Linked DNA regions of Struthio camelus. The protein of the gene in region 2 binds, or shares a complex with, the protein of the main gene of each other region. Links are inferred from orthologs where the notes say so. Each region holds a gene or a part of one and is shown on either strand. Other genes may lie near its edges.

What was found. Proteins that work in one complex are often made in the same cells at the same time.
Region 1: TRRAP (region 2) and TAF4 share a complex: the UniProt entries of both Homo sapiens proteins name them as parts of the TFTC-HAT complex. The link is inferred for Struthio camelus from reciprocal best matches to the Homo sapiens genes TRRAP and TAF4.
Region 3: TRRAP (region 2) and KAT5 share a complex: the UniProt entries of both Homo sapiens proteins name them as parts of the SWR1-like complex. The link is inferred for Struthio camelus from reciprocal best matches to the Homo sapiens genes TRRAP and KAT5.

Annotation. Positions count from the first base shown.
Region 1 is NC_090959.1:15,331,248-15,338,958, forward strand, and holds the start of TAF4 (transcription initiation factor TFIID subunit 4), read right to left. Parts: upstream 3,007-7,711; 5' UTR 2,939-3,006; coding exon 2,623-2,938; intron 656-2,622; coding exon 1-655. UniProt on the Homo sapiens protein: The TFIID basal transcription factor complex plays a major role in the initiation of RNA polymerase II (Pol II)-dependent transcription.
Region 2 is NC_090956.1:8,614,598-8,621,938, forward strand, and holds the start of TRRAP (transformation/transcription domain-associated protein), read right to left. Parts: upstream 3,004-7,341; 5' UTR 2,935-3,003; intron 2,745-2,934; exon of another isoform or gene 2,549-2,744; intron 2,196-2,548; 5' UTR 2,142-2,195; coding exon 2,042-2,141; intron 1,658-2,041; coding exon 1,608-1,657; intron 1-1,607. Other genes in the region: TMEM130 (transmembrane protein 130), read left to right, coding at 3,115-3,280, 5,636-5,926. UniProt on the Homo sapiens protein: Adapter protein, which is found in various multiprotein chromatin complexes with histone acetyltransferase activity (HAT), which gives a specific tag for epigenetic transcription activation.
Region 3 is NC_090976.1:906,679-913,999, forward strand, and holds the start of KAT5 (histone acetyltransferase KAT5), read left to right. Parts: upstream 1-4,315; 5' UTR 4,316-4,323; coding exon 4,324-4,464; intron 4,465-4,563; coding exon 4,564-4,630; intron 4,631-5,395; coding exon 5,396-5,464; intron 5,465-5,690; coding exon 5,691-5,827; intron 5,828-7,182; coding exon 7,183-7,321. Other genes in the region: RELA (transcription factor p65), read right to left, coding at 765-913, 1,447-1,595, 2,621-2,665, 3,150-3,159. UniProt on the Homo sapiens protein: Catalytic subunit of the NuA4 histone acetyltransferase complex, a multiprotein complex involved in transcriptional activation of select genes principally by acetylation of nucleosomal histones H2A and H4.

The sequences.
Region 1 (7,711 bases), on a different chromosome or scaffold from region 2:
GTGGCTGTAGCAACAGCAGGAAAACTCCCCACACTGATGGTTGAATTGATCACAGTATTGCTCCCATTTTGAGTGGCTGCACCAGCTGCAGCTACTGTGGGTCCTGCTGTGTGAATTGGTGGCCTCACAAGCGTTACCGTAGGCCCCCCACTTCCAATGCTCGGTGGTGGCTGCGAGGAAATAACTGTGGGTGAGGAAGAAGATGCAGACGACACAGCAGTATTAAGGAAAGAAGTCTGGATGACAGTGTTGGAAGCTGATGGCAAAACAGCATTAACAGTATTTCCTTTTCCGACAGATCCAGGTCCATTGTTAACTAGAGGGGCAACAGCAGGTGCAGAAGCAGGGTTAGCAGTCACAGGAGTCCCGGAGAAAGCAGCACTTCCTGTGTGGTGAGAGTTCATCACCACATTACTCCCATTCAAAGTTTGCACTGTTGTGGTCCCAATCTTGCCATTCCTGGTGGACAAGGCAGTTGCCATCGTGCTGATAACCACCGATTTGCCCTGACTGAGGGTCCCTGGAGCAGCAGTAACTTCAGATCCTCCTGCTGCTGCAGTGGTGGTGCTGGTGCTCGTTGTGGTGCCTCCATCCAGAGTTGAGCTCTGGGACCTGGTGTTATGATTAATAACGCCTCCTTGCACTCCTCCTGCTCCTGCAACAACAACAACAAGGTTAAAAAGACAGAACGAGCAGGAGAAATCCAACGAAGACAGAATGTTCTCCCTCACCACCAAGTCTTCTTCATCTCCCAAACTGCCTGCCAAGAAAATGGAACAGAGTATAAACTGAAGAAGGATTTAAAGACGTTATCTTGAAGCCTCCAGTTTCCCACTAGAGACTGGTGGATTCAATATTAATTGCAACACTCCCACCTTCATCACCACAGTAAGATAAAACAGGGAAAACAGATTTGCTATGAAGTGAAGGAAGGAAGGAGGAAGGAGATCTTCTCTTTAGACCTCTTCCCCATTCTAGAGCCTGATATTATGTTTAGCAGCATGCCTGCACCAACAAGAGGAAAAAAAATAGCATTGGAAGACACATTAATAAGGCACATTCCCTATGCCCAGCAAGTTACGCCCTAATCCTCTCATCTGCTACAACGTTAAGTCAGTTAGAGCAGGAAGCTCAACAACAGCAAGATGCAAAAAAAGTGAAGGAAAAGAAAAACACCAGCCGGCCAAGATAAGGAGTAGTATAAGGTCTGGAGCAGGTTATAAGAAGACCTCTCCACCTTATTACAAAATTTATTCTTCTGGCTCTGAAGTTCCCACAGCCAGAGATGGTTAAAAATAAATAAATAAAAAGCAAGGCTGATTTTGAGAAAGGATAAGGTGATGTAGCTTCTTGTCCTGAATAATCCTCACGCCCCTTGATGAGGCCTGGTGTTATCACTAGTACAATCACAGACAGCCTGGGTCCTGGCCCTAAGGAGACAGAAATGGGGAAAGAATAGTGACAGACAGATACTGAGATGCATCTCATAAGGGTTAAGGAGATCCTCCTAGAAGAGCTTCATTAATCATGACAGAAGGTCTGTAATATCTTCTTACACTTCAGCAAGAAGAAAGAAAGAAAGCAAAAAGGGGGGGAGGGGAGGAATTGCAGAGAGATTCTGGGGAGACATTTTTTTTTTTTATTCCCCTGAAAAAAAGCTTCCCTCCATTCTCATGGAGGGAACCCTTAAGGCTGTGATTAATACCATCCCCCTACAGCCTTCACAACATGAAGGGAGGGAACAGTCACAGGTAGATGCTGGGGGGCGGGGGGGTGGGGGAAGACATTGTACAAGGTGGGGTGTTATGGCCTGAATTCCCCCCCCTTCCTGGGACCTAATGTTGTGACAACACCCCCTTGAGGGCAGAGGGGGAATGAGAGGTGTTGAATGCCCCCTCCAAGCCCCAGGAACAAGGGAGGGGGTGGGGGAGGCATATCCAGGCAGACAGATATGGGGGGGGGAAGCATTTTGAGGGACTTCCTCCCCTTGAAATCCCCCCTCGCTTCCTCCTATACAGGAAATAGGTGTCATGATTAATAACACCCCCTTGCACTTCAGCAACAGCGAAGGGGGAGGGGAAGGAGCATTTACACAGACAGCTAAGCAGGCGTTATTAAGAGGGAATCCCCCCCCATAACCTCCACCCCTGGAAAAGGAAGGGGATCAGTCACAGATGGCATGTGAGGGACAGGCAGCACCGAGGGGGTGGGCTCTGCCTCCCTCAACCCCAAGATTAATAGAGCCTTTTACACTCCAGCAACAAGGGCAGAAAAAGAAGAGGGGGACCGACAGAGTCACAGGCAGGCACTGACGGGTTATGATGTAGGGATACTGCCCCCACACATGATAAAACATCCTCTAGTAAGCAGGAGCGAGGAGGGAAAATAAAGGGGAGGGAGCACAGGCACGGATACACACCGAGGGGGCATGATGAGGGGAGGCTCTCCCCCGTATGATCGATACCACCCTTTGCACTCCGGCTCCTGCCACAACAAGACGGAGGAGAGAGGGGAAAAAGGGGGGGAAAAAAAGCAGTGAGGGAAGGAGGCAGCCGGAGCCGGGCAGTGGGGGGAGGGGAGGCCCCCTCTCCCCTCCGAGCCCCCCACCCCTGCCCATGTTACCTGCTTTTGTGATCTCTGGGGCACTGAGTCCCATCTTGCTGCTGCTGCTGCTCTCTGTTTGGACATTAGCATTGCCTCCTACTACTACTCCTCCAGGGCTAGGGCTAGGGCTGCTGCTGCTACTGCTGCTGCTCACAACATGGTTCCCCAGCAGCCCCCCAGCGGCCCTCAGGGGCTCCTGCGCCTTGTGGTGCTGGTGGTGGTGGCCGGAGGCCGCCAGCTGGGACTCCAGGGAGCCCACCAGGTCGCTCACCACCTTCTCATCCACCTCCGTGTTCAGGAAAACCTCATCCAGCAGATCCGAGCCCGCCGCCATCTTTTTTTTGGAGGGTTCCTGTGAGCTGCTCCCTCCTCCCCCCCCTCCCCTTTCACTCCTCCCTCCCTCCCCCCACCCCCCCCCACACACTCGGCCCCCCTTACTGCGCAGGCGCAGCCGCCTCGCCTCACATCACCGGCCGGAGAGGGATTCCGCTCGCCGCTGATTGGCCGCCGGCCGGGTATAAAAGGCAGGGCAAATGGCTGCGAGCTCTTAGTTGGGAGTCGGGCGGCAGCGGCCCGGCCGCGACGCGGTGGCGGGGCGCGGCGGCTGTGGCGGGCGGGGGCGGGCGGTGCGGCCGGCCGGCCGAGGCGCGACGGGGCGAGGCGCGACGCGGAGGGGGGCGGGGGGAGGAGAGGCGGGAAGGAGGGGGGCGGCGGCCGCGCCTCTTTGTCTGCCTCGGCCCAAAATGGCTGCATGTCTGCCCGCTGCTCCCTGCGCCCGGGTCTCCCTCGCCGGCGCCGCACACCTGTGCCAGCTGCGTGTAACTGATCCGCCGGGCGGGCGGGAGGGGAGGGGAGGGGGGGCGGCGGCGGCGGCCCCCGCGCCTCGCTGCGCCGCAGGCGGAGCCGCAGCGCTGCCGGCCCGGGCCGCCCCCGCCGCCGCCGGGTGCCGGCGGCAGGTAGCCGGGGCGCGGGGCGGGAGCCGCGGCTCGCAGCGGGGGCCCGGCGCCCCTCCCCGCCCCCCCGGCCCGAGCAGCCTGACTCAGCACGGCGGGCCGGGCCGGGCCGCGGAGGGGTTGGCGGCCAGCCCCGACGGAGCGCAAGCCCGGGAGGGGAGCTCGGCTTTCGGCGCCGGGGACAAACAAAAAATGAAAGAGGGAGGTTACTATTTTAAATAGTCCACTCCCCGCTCGGAGCCCGACAGCGTCAGGCGGGGGGCTGCTGCGCTGGGGCCATCCCGGCGCGCCCGCGCGCGTTAACGCCCCCGCTGCCGCTTAACCCTTCGGGGAAAGCCGAGGCGTTACAGCTGCGCAAGAGCCAAGAGCAGCTGAAGGGGAACCGCGGCGGCGGGGCGCGCTGGGCGCGGGCTGCAGGTACGCGGGACTTCGTGAGCGCCGCTCTTACAGTAGGAAACTGCACTTTGACCTCGTTGTGCAACCATCCTAAAGGAAGTAAATACACTTGAAGTAAAAATGCAACCCGCCTTTTAATATTTTCTTTTGCTAGGCGCTGTTTCTCAAGGCTACCGAACGGCTGGAACAATACTGACGGACAAATCGTGGCAGGTCGTTTTTAAAGAGGAATCAGGTTTAGCATGATAACGCTTCTTATTGCAGTATGATGAGTTTTGCTCTGATGTACTGGGAATGGGTGCAATTAAAGACTGGAGTTGTGTTGCAGTGGGATCAGACTCGGCACCTGCTAATGCGTTCCTTAATAATGTCTAGAATTTACTGTCCTGATAGCTGACTTAAGACTGCAAAGATGGAGACTGGTAAGAATAAGAGCTGCAAGTTTTCTGTGAGACTGGATTGCTTGAAATAGGTCAGAGACAAAGTATTCTTTACTTAGGTTTGCCTAAAGTTGGGCGTCAGTGCTTCTTATATTTACAGATTTGTGGTGATCACTTGCACTGCTGTAACGTGAAGTAAATCATGTTATTAGCTGTAAATCATGTCCACTAGCTGTCCTAAATGATGGGGAAAAATACTGAAATGCTGTCCCATATCTTACCCTGCCCCCAAATCTGTGAATGTTCCCACATGAGAGAAACTCTTTGCAAAAAGCTCAAAGAAAAAACAAAATCAGATAGGTATTTTGTTCTTAATGTATGGGCCTCAAATAGTAGTGTAATAACTTGAAAGTTTTAGAAAACTGCTTATACTGAGGGATTTGCAGTTCTAGTTACTTGTGTCCTCTTCTCACCTGCAGTAGCCTTCTGCAGGGTGAGTTGGAATTACAACAGCTAGCCCTTCCTGAGGCTCTAATCGCTTCAAAAGGACACATCGCTAGGAGGGACGGCCTAGCTCCTCTGAGAAGTTATAAAATTAATCTTTGTTAAATTATTCTTGTTCTCAAGCCTTCTATACTTCTCAAAGCTTTTCTCGGTCATCGCTCAAAATTCAAGGGAGAGAAGCAAAGAAAATGCCCTTTTCCTCTCTATAACTTTTAACTTCCACTTCATCCATTCTGACCAAATTATAATGCTTAAAGTAGCTGCAATTTTACTGATGTTGTAGGTCGTGTGGCCCATTTCTTACAATGCAAGAATGCTTTGTCAAGCACAGTGGTGCCTGTGAATTTGTCGCTGCTACAGTCAAGCACATTGCTAGTTTTTGGCCACGATTAAATTCTATAAGCTACATACCAAAGAGCTATCTAGAATAGAAGTCTGTTCAGATCCCCAAAACAGAGAGTTAGTCTACAGCTGCTCAAATCGGTTATTGAGGTAAACAGCTAGAATTCAGCGGAAACAGCCCAAGGGTGACAGAGTCACTGCAAGTCTTTCTTTCACAGCATCTCAACAGGAGTATAGTGCAAAGTTGGGCTGCAGTGCCAGGAAAAGTGATGAAAAAAGAGAGATGGTGACATCAGAGATGGATTAAATTATCAAAGGGCAGTAGCAGCTAACATAAAGGATCAGAGCAGGCTATATTCTTCTCCTGCTAGTTTTCTAGGACAACTGGAATGTAGTTTACAGTTGCATACCAAAGTAGAAAAAAAAGTCTAGAAATCTTTATGTCCTTGTTCTGACACTCTCTCTAGTATACCATATGGCAATATCTACCACATCAGGTAAGCAACCTTACAAAATTACAAGAACAACCGAGATGCATTACCACTTGCACATTGTAAGTGTGCAGGATACATTACTAAATACTTTATCTTTTCACACTTATCTGTCTCTTGTTTACCATTGGAAGTAATTTTCTATATGTGATTCCTCAGGGTTGGGATTCTTTCTCACAGAATGGCCGAGGTTGGAAGGGACCTCTGGAAATCATCTAGTCCAACCCCCCTGCTCGAGCAGGGTCCTCTAGAACATATTTCCCAGGATCGCGTCCAGGTGGGTTTTGAATATCTCCAGCGAAGGAGACTCCACCACCTCTCTGGGCAACCTGCTCCAGTGCTCTGTCACCCTCACAGGAAAAAAGTTTTTCCTCAGGTCCAGATGGAACTTCCTGTGTTGCAGTTTGTGCCTGTTGCCTCTTGCCCTGTCACTTGGCACCATGGAGAAGAGACTGGCCTCATCCTCTCGACAACCCCCCCCTTCAGATCCTTGTACACATTGATCAGGTCACCTCTGTCTTCTCTTCTCCAGGCTGAACAGGCCCAGCTCTCGCAGCCTTTCTTCACAGGAGAGATGCTCCAGTCCCCTCATCATCCTGGTAGCCCTTCGCTGGACTCTCTCCAGTAGTGCCATGTGTGTCTTGTACCGGGGAGTCCAGAATTGGACACAGTGCTCCAGGTGAGGCCTCACCAGGGCTGAGGAGAGGGGCAGGATCACCTCCCTCGGCCTGCTGGCAACACTCTGCCTAAGGCACCCCAGGAGACCATTGGCCTTCTTGGCCACAAGGGCACATTGCTGCCTCACGGTTAACTTGTTGCCCACCAGGACTCCCAGGTCCTTCTCAGCAGAGCTGCTTTCCAGCAGGTCAACCCCCAGCCTGTACTGGTGCATGGGATTATTCCTGCCTAGGTGCAGGACCCTGCACTTGCCTATGTTGAACTTCATGAGGTTCCTCTCCGCCCAGCTCTCCAGCCTGTCCGGGTCCCTCTGAATGGCAGCACAGCCTTCTGCTGTGTCAGCCACTCCCCCCGGTTTAGTATCATCAGCAAACTAGCTGAGGGTGCACTCTGTCCCTTCCTCCAGGTCATTGATGAATAAGTTGAACAAGACCGGGCCCAGGACTGACCCCTGGGGGACACAGCTAGCTACAGGCCTCCAACTAGACTGTGCCATTCACCACAACCCTCTGAGCTCTGCCATTCAGCTAGTTCTCAGTCCACCTCACTATGCACTCATCTAGCCCACACTTCCTGAGCTTACCTAGGAGGATGTGATGGGAGACAGTGTCAAAAGCCTTGCTGAAGTCCAGGGAGACAACATCCACTGCTCTCCCCTCATCTACCCAGCATGTCCTCTGTATTCTACAGCACGCCTATTTCTGTTTTAAATGCTATAAAAGAGCAGCTAACATAAGAATCCTAGTAAATGGGTTACTGGTAATTATAGGTGTTGGTGTAGAGAAAGGCAGACTCAACCTCCAGTAAATGCTGTATATTTCACCCATCAAGGATTGCATCAAAAGATCTTGAATGTTATAGCCAAATGCTCTCTAGTGTCCCTAAAGCATAGAGGCAAGTAGGAGCTATACAGAAAAATGGAGGACTCTCTGTTCCCTTAACCTGTTCTTTTCAGCATTTTAGTATTTAAATACTTAATTCATTCTTTTTTTTCCCTTTATAGGTAGACTATATAGATTATGGCATGGAGACGGTGTCTCAAGACACAAGTATTAATGCAATTCTCTTTCTGTTTTTCTAAAAACTGTTGTTAGCCTAGAACTCATTACAAGAACATCACCCAGAGGAGACAGCAGTATGGATGATGATGATAAGGGACACAGCAGAGAAACCTACAGCTCATAAATGGTTCAGGAGGAGAAGGGTAGTCATTTTTGGTTGTCTGTACACACAACTTTTGTGAGACTTAGCTGACCAGTGATAATACTAAAGTCCCATCAATAAATGAATGGAAAGACTGGTACTGTTGTCCTTCCCTGCCCCTTTTTCTGTTCCTTACCCAGTGACTGATAATTGGAAATGA
Region 2 (7,341 bases):
AATGGAAATGGAAGTAGGTGACAGAGAAAAGTTAAAATGGACACTATGGAAACACAAGATGAAAGGAGTCCATCTAAGAGCTAGCAGAATGATCGGCAACAGTAACTTCTGCACTCTTCCAAAAAAATCAAAAATAAAAAAACCACCACCACTATATTAGCCATTCCTCTTGCTCCCTCGTAGTTCCATACAAACGAAACTGTGCTTAAGCATAAGTCAATTCATCCTCTTTATACGTAGGGTCACGTTACAGAACCAAGCAAGTTCCAAGAGAAGAAAAATACTCTATCTTGAACATTATCAAAAGAAATACTGAACAAGTTCTTCCCTACTGATGGCAAGGGCAAAGAGAACCAGCTCAGCTTTCAGATTTCAGCGAGATCACTAGATAAAGCCATTATAGCTACTCTTTTAGTCAGATATCAAATTAGGCTGGCGTGCCATCTTTGAAGCAAACATATACTGAAACTCCAAAAGGACATTTTAGACAGTCACTTAAGCTCTGCCCACCCTGACATATGGACGCAGATCACAGATGTCTACTTATTTGCTCACACAAGCTAAACAAGAATTTCGCCTTTTAATTCTCTTTATCATACAGTTACACTAGCTCAAATTGCATTCCTCTGTGTTAACCTGAACTAAATCAAACAATTCACTGGACAGGAAATTCCATTAATAGCACAGGAACAACTGAAATTGGTACAACCTTGCACAAACAGCACTGGAATGCAGCAACCTGTTGGACGTAACTTTGCGCAAAGCTGACAGAAAAATATTTGAAGACATTAAACAGCACTGGAATGGGTATTTTTGTGTCAGCATCTCAGACTAACAGAGATCACTTCAAATGAAGTTTATAAAACAGAGTGTGTTACAGCAGGGCATTGTTCTCACAAGCACATTTTCAAAGCAGTATAACTAAGAAACTAGATACAGAGAATTACAGTGATTCAGAGACCTTAAACTTACATTACAAAATAACAAGTTCTCTGTAATTTCAAAATAGACACATAGTAACTCAGTACTCAATAAAAGTACAATTCCCATGAACACATAGTTAGTTTAACTTCATTGCTGCTGATCTAAACTTGATGGTCTATTACGATGCAAAAGAGGTCACTGGAACTGTCTTCACTTCTAATGTCAGATTCCACATTGGACAACTGCCCCCTCACTTCTGTGCTATGAAACTATGCAGAAAAATCTGCGAAGGCCTATCTAGTCTTCTACTTCATGAGGACCAAATATATATTTGAATTAAATAAAAGAAAGTTCCAAATACATAGGTTTCAGATAGTTAGCCAAAATGGAAGAAAAAAAAAATCTATCACATCACCTTTATTTAAACATTTATCGAGAAAAGATTAGAGATCTCCAAGCCCAGAAGTCATAATTCTTCAATAATCTTGCTAATTCCAAACAAGACAGAAACATAATAAAAAATGAAGATTTCCATACATAAATATAATCCTAACATTGGTGACTTACAAGATAAATCATAAGACACAATATTAAGCTTTACACATAACATCAGAAATCAAGCTGACATACATTAGGCAAAAGAAGGACTATCGTTCAGGAAGCAATTTTTTTTTTAAGTTTACCTCAAAATTCTCACTGACTTCTTGCATCATTTTCAATTTGGTTTCATCGGCTGAAAACGGAAATTGAAGCAAAAGAAATTAAATGTAAAACTACATCGTAGAAGGGACACCAGCTCCACCGATCAAAGAAGCAATCAGATCTTATCAGTCCAGCTATCACCGCCCAGGTAGAAGGCACACGATTCTCACAAACATCCCTCTGTCATACAACGGCACACGCACACAGCTCTCTCGCTTCGGCTCATGCAAATATTACTCATCACTTTGCTTCTTCAAAAATCAAAACTCAAACCAAATCCAAAGCGAATCCAGCACGCCTTTATCCCCGCTAGTCTAGCCAACGCCGCCCCTGTCTGTGAAGCAAACGACGGAAACACGGCAACCCGCAGCACAAAAGGAAAAAAAAAGAAAAGAGGGAAAAAAGCGCATCTTACGTGTGTTGACATCTGTGAGAGCGGCCACGAACTGCAGGTATTTTTTCATCAGAGTGGTTTGGTCCACCACGGTGGGCCCTTGCGCGGTGACGAACGCCATGCCGGGGGCGGCGGGGCCGGCTGCTTTCAGCGCTCACAGCCGACACCAGCACACCTGCAAGAAACACAAAACACCTCTTCAAGTTCATGCGACCGGCAAACAGCAGCTGACGCGCTGCCCCCGCAGCCGCGGCTCGGGTTTGTTAGACGGGGACGCATCTCCTCCGACATGGCAGCTGTCACGCTTAGTTTGGCTGATCCGTAAGGGCTGGCGCTCGGGGCGGCGGAAAGGCGCCCCAGGCCCCAGCGGACCCCCGGCGCGGCCCGCACCTGCCGCCGCCATCGCGCCCGCCCCAGAACGGCCTTAACGCCGCCGCCGGCCCCCTCCTTCCTCCTCCTCCTCCTCCTCCTGCTGCCGCCGCTGCCCGCGGCGCGCCGGTTCCGCCCGCGGACCAGGCCGGGCCTCACCTCACCTCAGCGCCGGCCCGGGCCTAGGCCGCGCCGAGGCGCCGCCACCGCCGCCGCCGCTCCTCACCCCGCGCCCGGCCGGCCCCGGCCCCGGCCCCGGGCCCCCTCCTTTGTTGCTCCCGGCGCGGAGGCCGGCGGAGGCGCATGGGCGCAACGGAAGCGCCCGAGCCCAGTTCCGGCCGCCGCCACCGCCGCCGCCACCGCCCCCCGGCCCGGGGCGGGGCCGCGGTCCCCGCGCCTCCCCCGGCCCCGCGCGGGCGGCTTCGCCCGGCACCGGCCCCGCCGCCGCCCTCCCTCCCTCCCTCCCTCCGGCGGGCGAGGGGTCACCGGGGCGGCGCGGGGAGCCGCGGAGGGCAGCGGCGGAGCCCCGCAGCCGCGGGCGGTACCTCAGCTGCGCCGCGGAAACCCGCCGCCTTGTCGGCCGGGAGCGGGACTGCCCCCTCGCCGCGGGGCAGGGTTTGGGCTGGTTTGAGGTGTTTTTGAGGGGGGAAAAAAAAAAAAAAAAAAAAAAAGCCTTGGCGGCTTGCGCGGAGCCCGTCACGTTGGCGGCGGGCCTCGGGGCGGGGATGGGGGCTGTCCCCGCCAGGGCCGGGCCGGGCGCCGCAGGCTGGAAGCGGCCGGCGGCGCGGACGGAGGTGGCGCAGCGGCGGCGGTGCCTGCCCATGGCCGCCGCCGGCATCCTGCGGCTGAGCTGCCTGGCCCTGCTGCTCCGCCGCCCCGGCTCGGCCGCAGGTAAGGCGGAGCGGGCGGACCCCCCACCCCCCCCGGCGGCGGCGGCGGCAGGTGCCCGGTGCCGCGCCTGCCTCCTGCGCCTCCCGGCCCCCTCCAAAAGGCTCCTGCTGCCCGCGCAGCCCCCGGCTGTGCTGCGGCAAGGGGCTGGGGAGCCGCAGGACCGCCGAGGGCTGGACGAGCCCTCGCTGACTCACGGCCCGACCTTGCGTTAGCTGCCTGCTGTCCAGCCGCGGCAGCCGCGGGGCTCCAGCCTGGCCCCGGCTGGCCTGGAGTGCCTTGACCGCCTCTGGGGAGAAGCTGCTGGGTTAGCCCAAGGCCGCTGGCCGTTTGTCCGAGCTTTGTTCAAACAAAGCGGAGGGTAGCCTGAGTCTTCTGGAGACCTGAAAGCTCCCTGTGTCAGACTTCATTCAATCACCCGCGCTTCTCTGTTGGCTCAAAATTTGTGAACCCGGGGCCTTTCTCATGTTACGAAGTGGGAACGGTGAAGTTCTCACTCAGAAAGCAATGCTGCGGTTATTTTTCCTCCATCCTTTTGCATCCAATGTTGCTTAGCACCTGGGATCTGTGGAGTGAAATTAGGGGCCTAATGAGATGTTTGAGGTCTCTTTTCTTACCACCCCGGCTCGGAGGGGGACGCGAAAGGCATGCAGGGGCTAGCTGACCCCAGCGCTCCCTCCGGCCCGAGCGCTGCATTAGAGGCCCCAGGTGGGCGAGAAGTGCAACTTCTGCAGTTCAGAGGTTCTGCCGAGTCCCCGGCGTGATGAGCCCCAGCAGTGCAGCGCTCTGCTCAGCGTTGCTTTGTTGGGCTCCTGCGAGGTGATAACTAGCCAGACACTGCTGGGAGGAGGATGGGTACGCCGCGGGGGAGGCAAAAAACAGTCTGTTCCCAGCTCTCCCAGTTCCCAGCCCTCCATGGTTGTTGCATTTGGTTTTGTTGTTCCAACATGTGCAAGTCATTTAATGTCGCACTGCCATTTCTTAACCCACAAAATAAGTGCAGCAGTGCTTTCCCAGCACTGAAACCTGGGGATGTAACCCCCGGTTAAAACTGAATTTAGTATCCTTTCCGTAAAACCAAACCTTGCCCAGCTCTGCCCGATGTAGTAGTTGTAAGAGCGTAAGTAAGTAGCTTGTGTAAATGCAGCAGGGAAGAGAAGGGGGAGCAAGGCAGAGCAGCAGGGCTGTTTTTCAAGGTCACGAGTTTGGCACCCCCTTGCACCTCGCTGTTCCAGTTGTGAAAGCCATGAAGTAAGAACCCTTTTTTTTTTGCCCTTGAGGGCTGAACTGATCAAACACTAGGATGTTGGTAGCAGCTACAGCTTCAAATGCACAAGTTTCATTTATACTGAAATCTTTGGCCCTTTCCTAGAAAGGGACGTTAACAGTAGACCATAGATAAGTAGCTGGTACTGAGTTTCCATACTTGGGCAGAAGGTGGAGGGTACCAGGGTACCTGTGTGTCAGCAGAGCTGATAAAGGAAACTACTGCATGAAATCCTGCTTGGGCCTGAAAGTTCATTTTTAGTCCAAGGCTTTGCCCAGTGAGAGATTTCTTTAAGCAAGTTGGTAATTTGTCCTTTCTGTAACTGCAGAGAATTTTGCAGTGTCCTCACCTTTGACTTCCTCACTACAGCCCTGGTCTTAAAAAGAAAAAAAAAAAGTGGAAGTGCACCAACTGCTTTTATTTTGTTGTGTTTAAGTTATTTTCATGTTTAATGCAATTTTCAGAATGGACGCTTAATGCCAAACAGTAGAAACAGGTATAAGGCGCCGAAATATTTTTGAAAACTCTAGTGAGCATGCACCTACATCTGCAGATGCCTGCACACTGAAAGTTAGCCTATTTCAGCAAGGTTGGCCTGGCCTGCCTTTTCCTTTGCAAAGGATCTTCCTCTGCCATACAAATCCTTTTCAGCACGTGACTTTTCCATTCTGTTTTGAGTGAGAATTGAAACAACACGGATTAGATTTGAACCTGAAGCTTTTCAAGTGGATGGAAGTTTAGTGAGTATGGTGTTAGATTGCTAATGAACATAATGTTAGATTATAGCCCAGCTCTAGCTATAAAGCCTCCTCAAAGTTTTTTGGATGTTCAAATTAACATTTTTTGTTTAGGCTACCCCTTACTATTAACATTTCTAGGACCAATTCCTAGATGTTCTTTAATGCTACCTGTTTGAATTCAAATATATATGTGCGTAACAGTTTCAGTTCTAGCCTTTTACATGGTAAAAAAGGTGGCAAAGTCTTAGCTGGCATTAGTATCATCGTGAATCACGTAACTACAGCTGACCAGTGAGAATGTGAAGAAATAAAAATTGCAAAACAAAGAGATTTTTCTTCTGATTTTTGCAGAGGAGTATGATCTGGAAATAACCAACAACGGTCCCATCACAACAGGAGCTCAAGCTACTGTTCGTGCCAGTCTAAGTATGAAGAATGACAGAATGGCCTCACACTTTTATCATTTTAACTGGATTTATGCTCCTCTGATTCTCATTGAGAAATCAGAGCAGCGGTTTCACTCCCTGATTAATGTGACTGGTGAATTTCCTGGGACTTTTCCTGTATCTGTCTGGGTGACTCACAAAAACTGTTGGTTGTGTCGGCCTGTTGCTAGAAATGTCACCGTACTTCACATCACAGGTAAAATGGCTTTACAACTTCTACAGCTTCTTTACGACTTCTTGAATTCTTCAGGAATTCAAGCTACATCACAGTGGCTGCACTACCTTTGCTAGTATCAGAACGAGCAAAGGCCATCTCGGACAGGCCGTGTGCTAACCAGGCCACGTTGTCTCCCTGCGTCCGGGAAGCAAGCGTGGTGCTGCCCGTGTTTTCCTGCCTCTCTCGCTTAGGGGAACCAAGCTAGAAACCAGACGCTCCAGTAGCTGTAGGTCACGCATCAGTGCTGTTTGGTGATACCCAGTGCTGCCTGTGTAGCTGCTCAGCGTTTCGAGTCCCATTGTTAGGGCAACCGGAAGGAGCCACAATTGACTAGTTTTCCCTTTTGCATGACATAGAAAAACTTAGGCCATCAGCATGACAGAGCTGTTACACTTTCTTTCAAAGTTCAGGATGATCATCCTGAAACGAGAGGTGGAGTCATGGCTGCCTTTCCAAATTGCATCTTACTGTCATATTCATAGCCATAAACAGGCACTTTTGGACAAACTGGCACATGGGGCAGTGTGGTTAGCCTAAGCTCTGAGGCAGGGATCAACGTGAAGCATCCTTTGACAGCGTTCCGTGATCCCTTCCTCCAAAGACAGGCAAGCGCGTCCCTCCAGCCATGTGTCCCAGCTGCTCTCCTTGTGCGCTCCAAAACAGACCGACCCCACGTTCTGCAGCGGCAGAGGAGCAGCATGAGGACATCAATGATGACAAAAGAGCCTACCTGACATTTTGAGGAATAGCTATTACAATTTTTCTTTGAGAAACGCCAAGGGAAAGCCTTTATAAAAATATACATAAGATCTTTTCTCTCTTAAAAATTGCTGCCTTGCTGAATAGCTGCTTATTCCTTTTTCTCTTTGCACTGACTTAAAGTCTCATGTCACTAGAAAAAGGGATAGACATTTTTTATAGCTATGGTAAGCTAAGGTAAGATCTTGTTGTATCCTTCTGCCTTCCCCAAACAAGAGAATGATCTAAATTTTCTAACCTATGAATAAAGAGGTGTCATGATGATACGCTGACCAGCTCATTATAAAATGAATAGGATAAAAGCTGTCAGTAAGACACTTACCCTGGGCACAAAGGTGGTTCCCAATAACAAATATAAATAGGGGCACAAAGGTAGTTGCTAATAAAACATAAAAATTACGTTTTCCGGTTAGATCTGCATTATCAGCCCTATTCTGAAGCAGTAATTGTGATTCTTTTATTTGTGTATTATCAAGATAACGGTTAACCAGATTTAATGAATTGTTAACAGGGTAAGCATCTTACTAGTAACTCATATCCTATTAATGTTATAATGAGCTGATCAGCATATCATCGCAATACCTCTTTATTCATAGGTTAGAAAGTTTTTAGCTCAATTTCTGCTAATCCTTAGA
Region 3 (7,321 bases), on a different chromosome or scaffold from region 2:
CCAGTCCCAAAGGGCCCAGGCGTCCGGGCTACCCAAGAAGGGGCCCAGGCGTCCGGTCCCTGACTTAACGTGCGCCCCAGTCCCAAAGGGCCCAGGCGTCCGGGCTACCCGAGAAGGGGCCCAGGCATCCAGGCTACCCGAGAAGGGGCCCAGGCGTCCAGGCTACCCGAGAAGGGGCCCAGGCGTCCAGGCTACCCGAGAAGGGCCCAGGCATCCGGTCCCTAACTTAACACGCGCCCCAAACCCTGAAGGGCCCAGGTGTCCGGGCTACCTGAGAAGGGGCCCAGGCGTCCGGTCCCTGACTTAACATGCGCCCCAGTCCCAAAGGGCCCAGGTGTCCGGGCTACCCGAGAAGGGCCCAGGTATCCGGTCCCCGACTTAACATGTGCCCCAACCCTGAAGGGCCCAGGCGTCCGGGCTGCCCAAGAAAGGGCCCAGGCATCCGGGCTACCCGAGAAGGGGCCCAGGCATCCAGGCTACCCAAGAGAGGCCCAGGCGTCCGGTCCCTAACTTAACGCGCGCCCCAAACCCTGAAGGGCCCAGGCATCCGGGTTACCCGAGAAGGGACCCAGGCGCCCGGGCTACCCGAGAAGGGGCCCAGGCGTCCGGGCAACCCGCGCGACGTCACTCTCGAGCACCAACTCGGCCTCGGAGCGGCCGCCGCGTCCCGTTCTCCGTCCCTCTCCCCCGAAGGGCCCAGGCATCCGAGCTCGCAAAGGGGCCCAGGCGTCCGGCTCGCAAAGGGGCCCAGGCGTCCGGCTCACCTGTGCACGTTGCGCTCGGGCGCCAGCTCGGCCTCGTAGTAGCCGTCGCGGCAGTCCTTGCCCACCAGCTCGTGGGGGTGCGGCCGGTGCGGCGCCTCCTTCGTCACCAGCGACACCCGCACTCGCCCCGGGCCCCGGTAGTTGTTGATCTGCGCCAAGGGCCCAGGCGTCCGGGGAGGGGCCCAGGCGTCCGGGAACCCCCCTCTGCCCCCGTGTTCCCAACCCGGGCGTTAGAACCGCTAAGAGGGACCCAGGCGTCCGGGCAGAGCCCAACCTCCGCGCTCAGCTACGGTGGGTGGGAAGGGGGGCCCAGGAGTCCGGGGAGGGGCCCAGGTGTCCGGAAAGGGGCCCAGGCGTCCGGGTGGCACTCAGGTGTACAGGGGGGCTCAGCTGTCCGGCGGGGCCCAGGTGTCCGGGGAGGGACCCAAGTGTCCAGGGGAGTCTAAGCCCCCAGCCCCAACCGCTGGGGGGCTACTGGGAGACCCTGGAGGAGCTACTGGGAGCATACTGGTGCGCACTGGTCTGTACTGGGGGCTCACCCGGATGGTGGGGTGGGTCTTGGTGGTGTCGCTGCTGTGCTCGCCGGGGCTGGGGGCCCAGGGGGGGCGCGGGGAGGGCGCTGGAGGGTTACTGGTGCGCACTGGTCTATACTGGTGCGCACTGGTCTATACTGGGGGCTCACCCGGATGGTGGGGTGGGTCTTGGTGGTGTCGCTGCTGTGCTCGCCGGGGATGCTGCCGGCCGAGCGGCCCTCGCACTTGTAGCGGAAGCGCATCCCCCGCTGCTTGGGCTGCTCGATGATCTCCACGAAGGGGGCGCCCCCCCCCGGCTCTGCAACGGGGCCCAGGCGTCCGGGAGAGCCCCCCCCCCCGCCCCCCCGGCTCTGCAACGGGGCCCAGGCGTCCGGGAGAGCCCCCCCACCCCCACCCCCCCCGCCCCCCCCCGGCTCTGCAACGGGGCCCAGGCGTCCGGGAGAGCCCCCCCCACCCCCACCCCCCCCGCCCCCCCGGCTCTGCAACGGGGCCCAGGCGTCCGGGAGAGCCCCCCCACCCCCACCCCCCCCGCCCCCCCCCGGCTCTGCAACGGGGCCCAGGCGTCCGGGAGAGCCCCCCCACCCCCACCCCCCCCGCCCCCCCCCGGCTCTGCAACGGGGCCCAGGCGTCCGGGAGAGCCCCCCCCACCCCCACCCCCCCGGCTCTGCAACGGGGCCCAGGCGTCCGGGAGAGCCCCCCCGCCCCCACCCCCCCCGGCTCTGCAACGGGGCCCAGGCGTCCGGGAGAGCCCCCCCCCACCCCCCCCGGCTCTGCAACGGGGCCCAGGCGTCCGGGAGAGCCCCCCCCCCACCAAGCGATCCAGGTGGCCGTGTGACCCCCCCCCCAAAAAAAGGGACCCAGGTGTTTGAGTGACCCCCCCCAAAGGGGCCCAGGCGCCCGGGTGACCCCCCCCCAAAAGGGGCCCCGGTGTCCAGGTGACCCCCCCCCAAAAGGGGCCCAGGCGTGCAGATGACCCCCCCCCAAAAGGGGCCCAGGCATCCGGGTGACCCCTCCCCCAAAGGGGCCCAGGTGTCCGAGTGACCCCAACACCCCCCCCAAAAGGGGCACCGGTGTCCAGGTGACCCCCCCAAAGGGGCCCAGGCGTCCGGGTGACCCCCCCCCCCAAAAGGGGCCCAGGTGTCCGGGTGACCCTCCCCAAAAGGGGCCCAGGTGTCCGGGTGACCCCCCCCCCCAAAGGGGCCCAGGCGTCCGGGTGACCCCCCCCCAAGGGGGCCCAGGCATCCGGGTAACCCCCCCCCAAAAGGGGCCCAGGTGTCCGAGTGACCCCCCCCCCCGACCCCGGACGCCTGGGCCCCCACTCACCCTGCAGGCCCCAGTCCTGCTGCAGGAGGAAGGGCAGCAGATCGGCTGCGGGGGGGAGGGGGGGGAGGGAGAGACGAGCGGGGGTGTCAGCGGGGGAGGGGAGCCCGGCCCGGACGCCGGGGCCCCCTCCCGCCCCCCCCCCAACCAGCTGCCGCGCCATGGGGGGGAAGGGAGGGAAGGAAAGCGGAGACGAAACCGGCTGCGCCTCTCTTCGAGGCTCTACGGCCGCGCCGCGCCGCTATTAGGCGCAGTGCGGGAAGGCCGCCGCCGCCGCCGCTACCGTAACGCACCGAAGGGGCGCGCACGCCGCGGCGTCACGTGACGGGGGGACCCCCCCCCCACCCCCACCGCGCGCGTTAACCCTGAAACCTACTGACGCCGCCGCCAGCGGGGGGAGAGTAGGGGGGATCCCCTGACGTCACCGCGGCTTGACGTCACCGGCGAGGCGGGGGGGGGGAACCACCGATTTCGGGGAGCCTCGACCCGCCCCCCCCCCCCCGGCGGAAGGGGGTGGGGGAGGGGCACTCACCGTTCTCCATCTTGGCCGGGCGGAGGGGTGGGGGGAGGGGTAGGGGGGTGGGGGGGGTCCCCGGTGCCGGTGGGGGCGGGGCGAGAGGGGGGTGGGCGGGGCCGCCGCGCCCGGGCGCGACCGTCCGGTCCCGCCGCCGCCGCCGCCGCCGCTTCGGGCCCCGCCGCTACCGCGTCGCCATTCGCGGAAGTGGCCCCGCCGCCCCACGTGACCCCCCGCTGCCGGGAAGGCCCCGCCCCCGGCCCCGCCCCCGGCCCGCTCCGCGTTCTGGCCCCGCCCCGTCCGGCCCCGCCCCTTCCGCCCCCTCCGCGCTCCGGCCCCGCCCCCATGCAAATGAGGGGGCGGGGCCGAGCGGCAGGGGCCGGCGGGCAGTTGCGGCCGGCGGAGGGAGGCGAAAAGAGGCGCAAAACCAGGCGGGGGGGGGGAACCCATAATGGGGGGGGGGGAACCCAAAAGGAGGGGGAACGGATGTGGGGGAACCGAAAACGGGGGGACCTATGGGGGGGACCCATAACGGGGGGGGGGACCCATAACGGGGGGGGACACATAACGGGGGACACATAACGGGGGGACCCATAACGGGGGGACCCATAACGGGGGGGGACCCATAACGGGGGGACCCATAATGGGGGGACACATAACGGGGGGACACATAACGGGGGGACACATAACGGGGGGGACCCATAACGGGGGGACCCATAATGGGGGGACCCATAACGGGGGGACACATAATGGGGGGGGACCCATAACGGGGGGACCCATAACGGCGTGGGACACATAACGGGGGGGGACCCATAACGGGGGGACCCATAATGGGGGGACCCATAACGGGGGGGGACCCATAACGGGGGGACCCATAACGGGGGGACACATAACGGGGGGACCCATAACGGGGGGACCCACAACGGGGGGGGACCCATAACGGGGGGACCCATAACGGCGTGGGACACATAACGGGGGGGACTCATAATGGGGGGGCCCATAACGGGGGGGACCCATTACGGGGGGACACATAACGGGGGGACCCATAATGGGGGGACACATAATGGGGGGACACATAATGGGGGGACCCATAACGGGGGGGGACCCATAGTGCGACCATAGAGTCTAGCGGGAGGACCGCGGGAAGGAGCGCCCGGCGAGCGAGCCCCACCCCCGGTCTCCCGCCGCGCGCATGCGCAGGCGCGGGGCGGGCGGCGAGCAAGCCGGAAGTGACGTCGGGGCGGGCAAGCGAGCGGAAGGCGGAAGCGCTGGGGCGGCGACCCGGAAGCGGTGCGCGGCGGGCCCCGGTTTGCGGCCGAGGATGGCGGAGGTGGTGAGCGGCGGCGGCGCGGGGCGGGGCGGGGCGGGGGCGGCGGAGGGGGGGGCGGCGGGACCCCGGGACCCCCCCGCCGTGACGCCGCGCCGCCCGCAGGGGGAGGTGTCCGAGGGCTGCCGCCTGCCCGTGCTGCGCCGCAACCAGGACAACGAGGATGAGTGGCGTGAGCGGGGGCGGGGCCGCCGCGCGAGGGGGCGGGGCCGCCGCGGGAGCGGGGCGCGGAAGGGCGGGGCCGGGCCGGGAGGGGAGTGGGCGGGGCCAGGCGGGGCACTGACGGGGCCGGGAGTGGGCGGGGCCGGGAGGGGAGTGGGCGGGGCCAGGCGGGGCAATCGCGGGGGCGTGGCCAGGAGGAAGGGTGGGAGGGGCCACCGCGCGGGGCGGGGGGACGACACGGAGGCCCAGCGGGGCGGAGGGGGCGTGGCCAGGAGGAGGAGTGGGCGGGGCTGCTGCGGGGCGGGGTGGGGCCAGGAGGAGGGGGCGGGGCCGGGCGGGGGAGCTGTCCCCCCTCCCCCGGGGTTCCCTATTTGGGGGGGGCAAGGGGATTTGGGGGGGGGCTCAGGGGGATTGGAGGGTCCCTGGGGGGGTTTTGGGGGCGTTTGGGGGATTTTGGGGACAGCGGGGGGGGGGACTTGAGACTGGGAGATATTTGGGGTCCCCCAGGGACGTTTTGGGGGGGGGGAAGGGAAATTTGGGAGAGGGGGTCTTGTGGGGGGGGTAATTGGGTAGGGGGGTGGCAATATCGGGGCGGGGGGAGCAACCTGCGTTGGCCTGAAGCGCTATTTCGGAGGGGGGAAAGGCAACCTTTGGGGTGGGGGGATTCGAGGGTGCCCCAATGAGGGGGTCACGGCCCGGGGGGCCCGGGGGAGGTGGGGGGGGGGAGGCGACCCCCTCTCCCCCCCTGCCGCCCCCTCCCCGCCGCCCCCCCCAGCGCTGGCCGAGATCCTGAGCGTGAAGGACATCAGCGGGCGCAAGCTCTTCTACGTCCACTACATCGACTGTGAGTTTTGGGGTGGGGGGGTGAACGCGGTGACACTGGGGGGGGACGGGGCCACCGAGGAGGGGACGGGGCCACCGCGGCGGGGACGGGGCCACCGAGGAGGGGACGGGGCCACCAAGAGGCCACGGGGCCCCCGAGAGCCTCGGGGCGAGAGCCGGGGCGACCGCAAGCCGGGCGGGCGGGCGTCCCGCCGCCGCGTCACCGCGTCCCCTCCCGCCGTCCCCAGTCAACAAGCGCCTGGACGAATGGGTCACCCACGACCGCCTGGACCTCAAGAAGATCCAGTTCCCCAAGAAGGAAGCCAAGACGCCCACCAAGAACGGCCTGCCCGGTTCCCGGCCCGGCTCGCCGGAGCGCGACGTGGTGAGGGGACGGGCGCCGCCGCTGGGGACGGCCCCGCCGCCGCTGGGGGTGGGGGGGGGACGCCCCCAGGTTGGGGGGGGTGGGCGGGTTCACTAGAGCTGTCGGGGACGTCCGACGGAGCCGGGAGAAGACACCTCGAGCCCCGGGGACGTTCTCGAAGTTGACTCGGGGACGAGTTCAGGGGCGCGTTTGGGGTCGGGGGACAGCGAGGACGTTCAGGGCACGTTCGGGGGACAGGAAGGCCACCTTGAGTGTCGGAAACGTCTGCGGGTCTAGAGAGGCCACGTAGATGAGTTGGGGACATCTAGAAGCTTTGGGGACACCTGCAGTCAGGGCCGTTTGTGGTCCTAGCGGGGACGCAGAGAGTTTAGGGACGCACGGAGCCCCGGGGACGTTTTTGCACCCGACGGTGACACCAGGAACCGTTGGGGACGCTTGGAGCTCCGCGGACGTCCCTTGCTCCTCGGTTGGGGGGACACCTAAAGCTGTTGGAGCTACTGGGAGCCGTTGGGGACGCTGGGAAGCGTAGGGGACGCAGGGCAGTCGCTGAGGACGGGGGAGCCAACAGGGACGTTGGGAGCCGCTGGGGACGTTGGGAGCCACTGGGGATGTTGGGAGTTGCTGGGGACGTTGGGAGTCGCTGGGGACGTTGGGAGCCACTGGGGACGTTGGGGGCCACTGGGGATGTTGGGAGCCAGTGGGGTCATTGGGAGCCACTGGGGACGTTAGGGGCCACTGGGGATGTTGGGAGCCAGTGGGGTCATTGGGAGCCACTGGGGACACCAGAGCTGTTGGGGACGCGGGAGCTGCTGCTTCCGGGGGAGCTACTGGGGACACTGGGAGCTGGTGGGAACACGGGAGCCAGTGGGCCTAGGCGAAGCGTTGGGGCCACCGGGAGCCATCGGGGGCCACCAGGAACCATCGGGGGCCACCGGGAGCCATCGGGGGCCACCAGGAACCATCGGGGGCCACTGGGAGCCATCAGGGGCCACCGGGAGCTGCTGGGGGCCACCAGGAACCATCGGGGCCATTGGAGGCACCGGGAAGCGTCGGGAACGCGGGAGCTCTCGGGGGACCGGGGAACCGCTGGGGCCACCGGGAGCCGCTGGGAGCCACCGGGAGCCGTGGGGGGACGCGGGGAGCATCGGGGACGAGGGACCGCCGGGGAGCCGGGACGCTTCGCTTTGCCGCGCCGGGAGGGCGGGAGGGGAAGCGGGTGGGAGGCTGCCGGCCGGCCCCGTTCCCCCGTCCCCCGCCCCCCGACCCCACGGCCCGGGCGGGTGCCAGCACCCACAGGGAGGGTGGAGGGTCCCTCACCGCCCCCCTTTCTGCTCCTCTTCCTCGCGCCGGCGCAGAGGAAGAGCCTGGACGCGGCGGCGCCGGCGGCTCCGGCCAGCGGCAAGAGCCTCCCGGTGCCGGTGCAGATCACGCTGCGCTTTAACCTGCCCAAGGAGAGGGAGCCCGGCCCCGGCCCCGGCGAGGCCGAACCGCCCC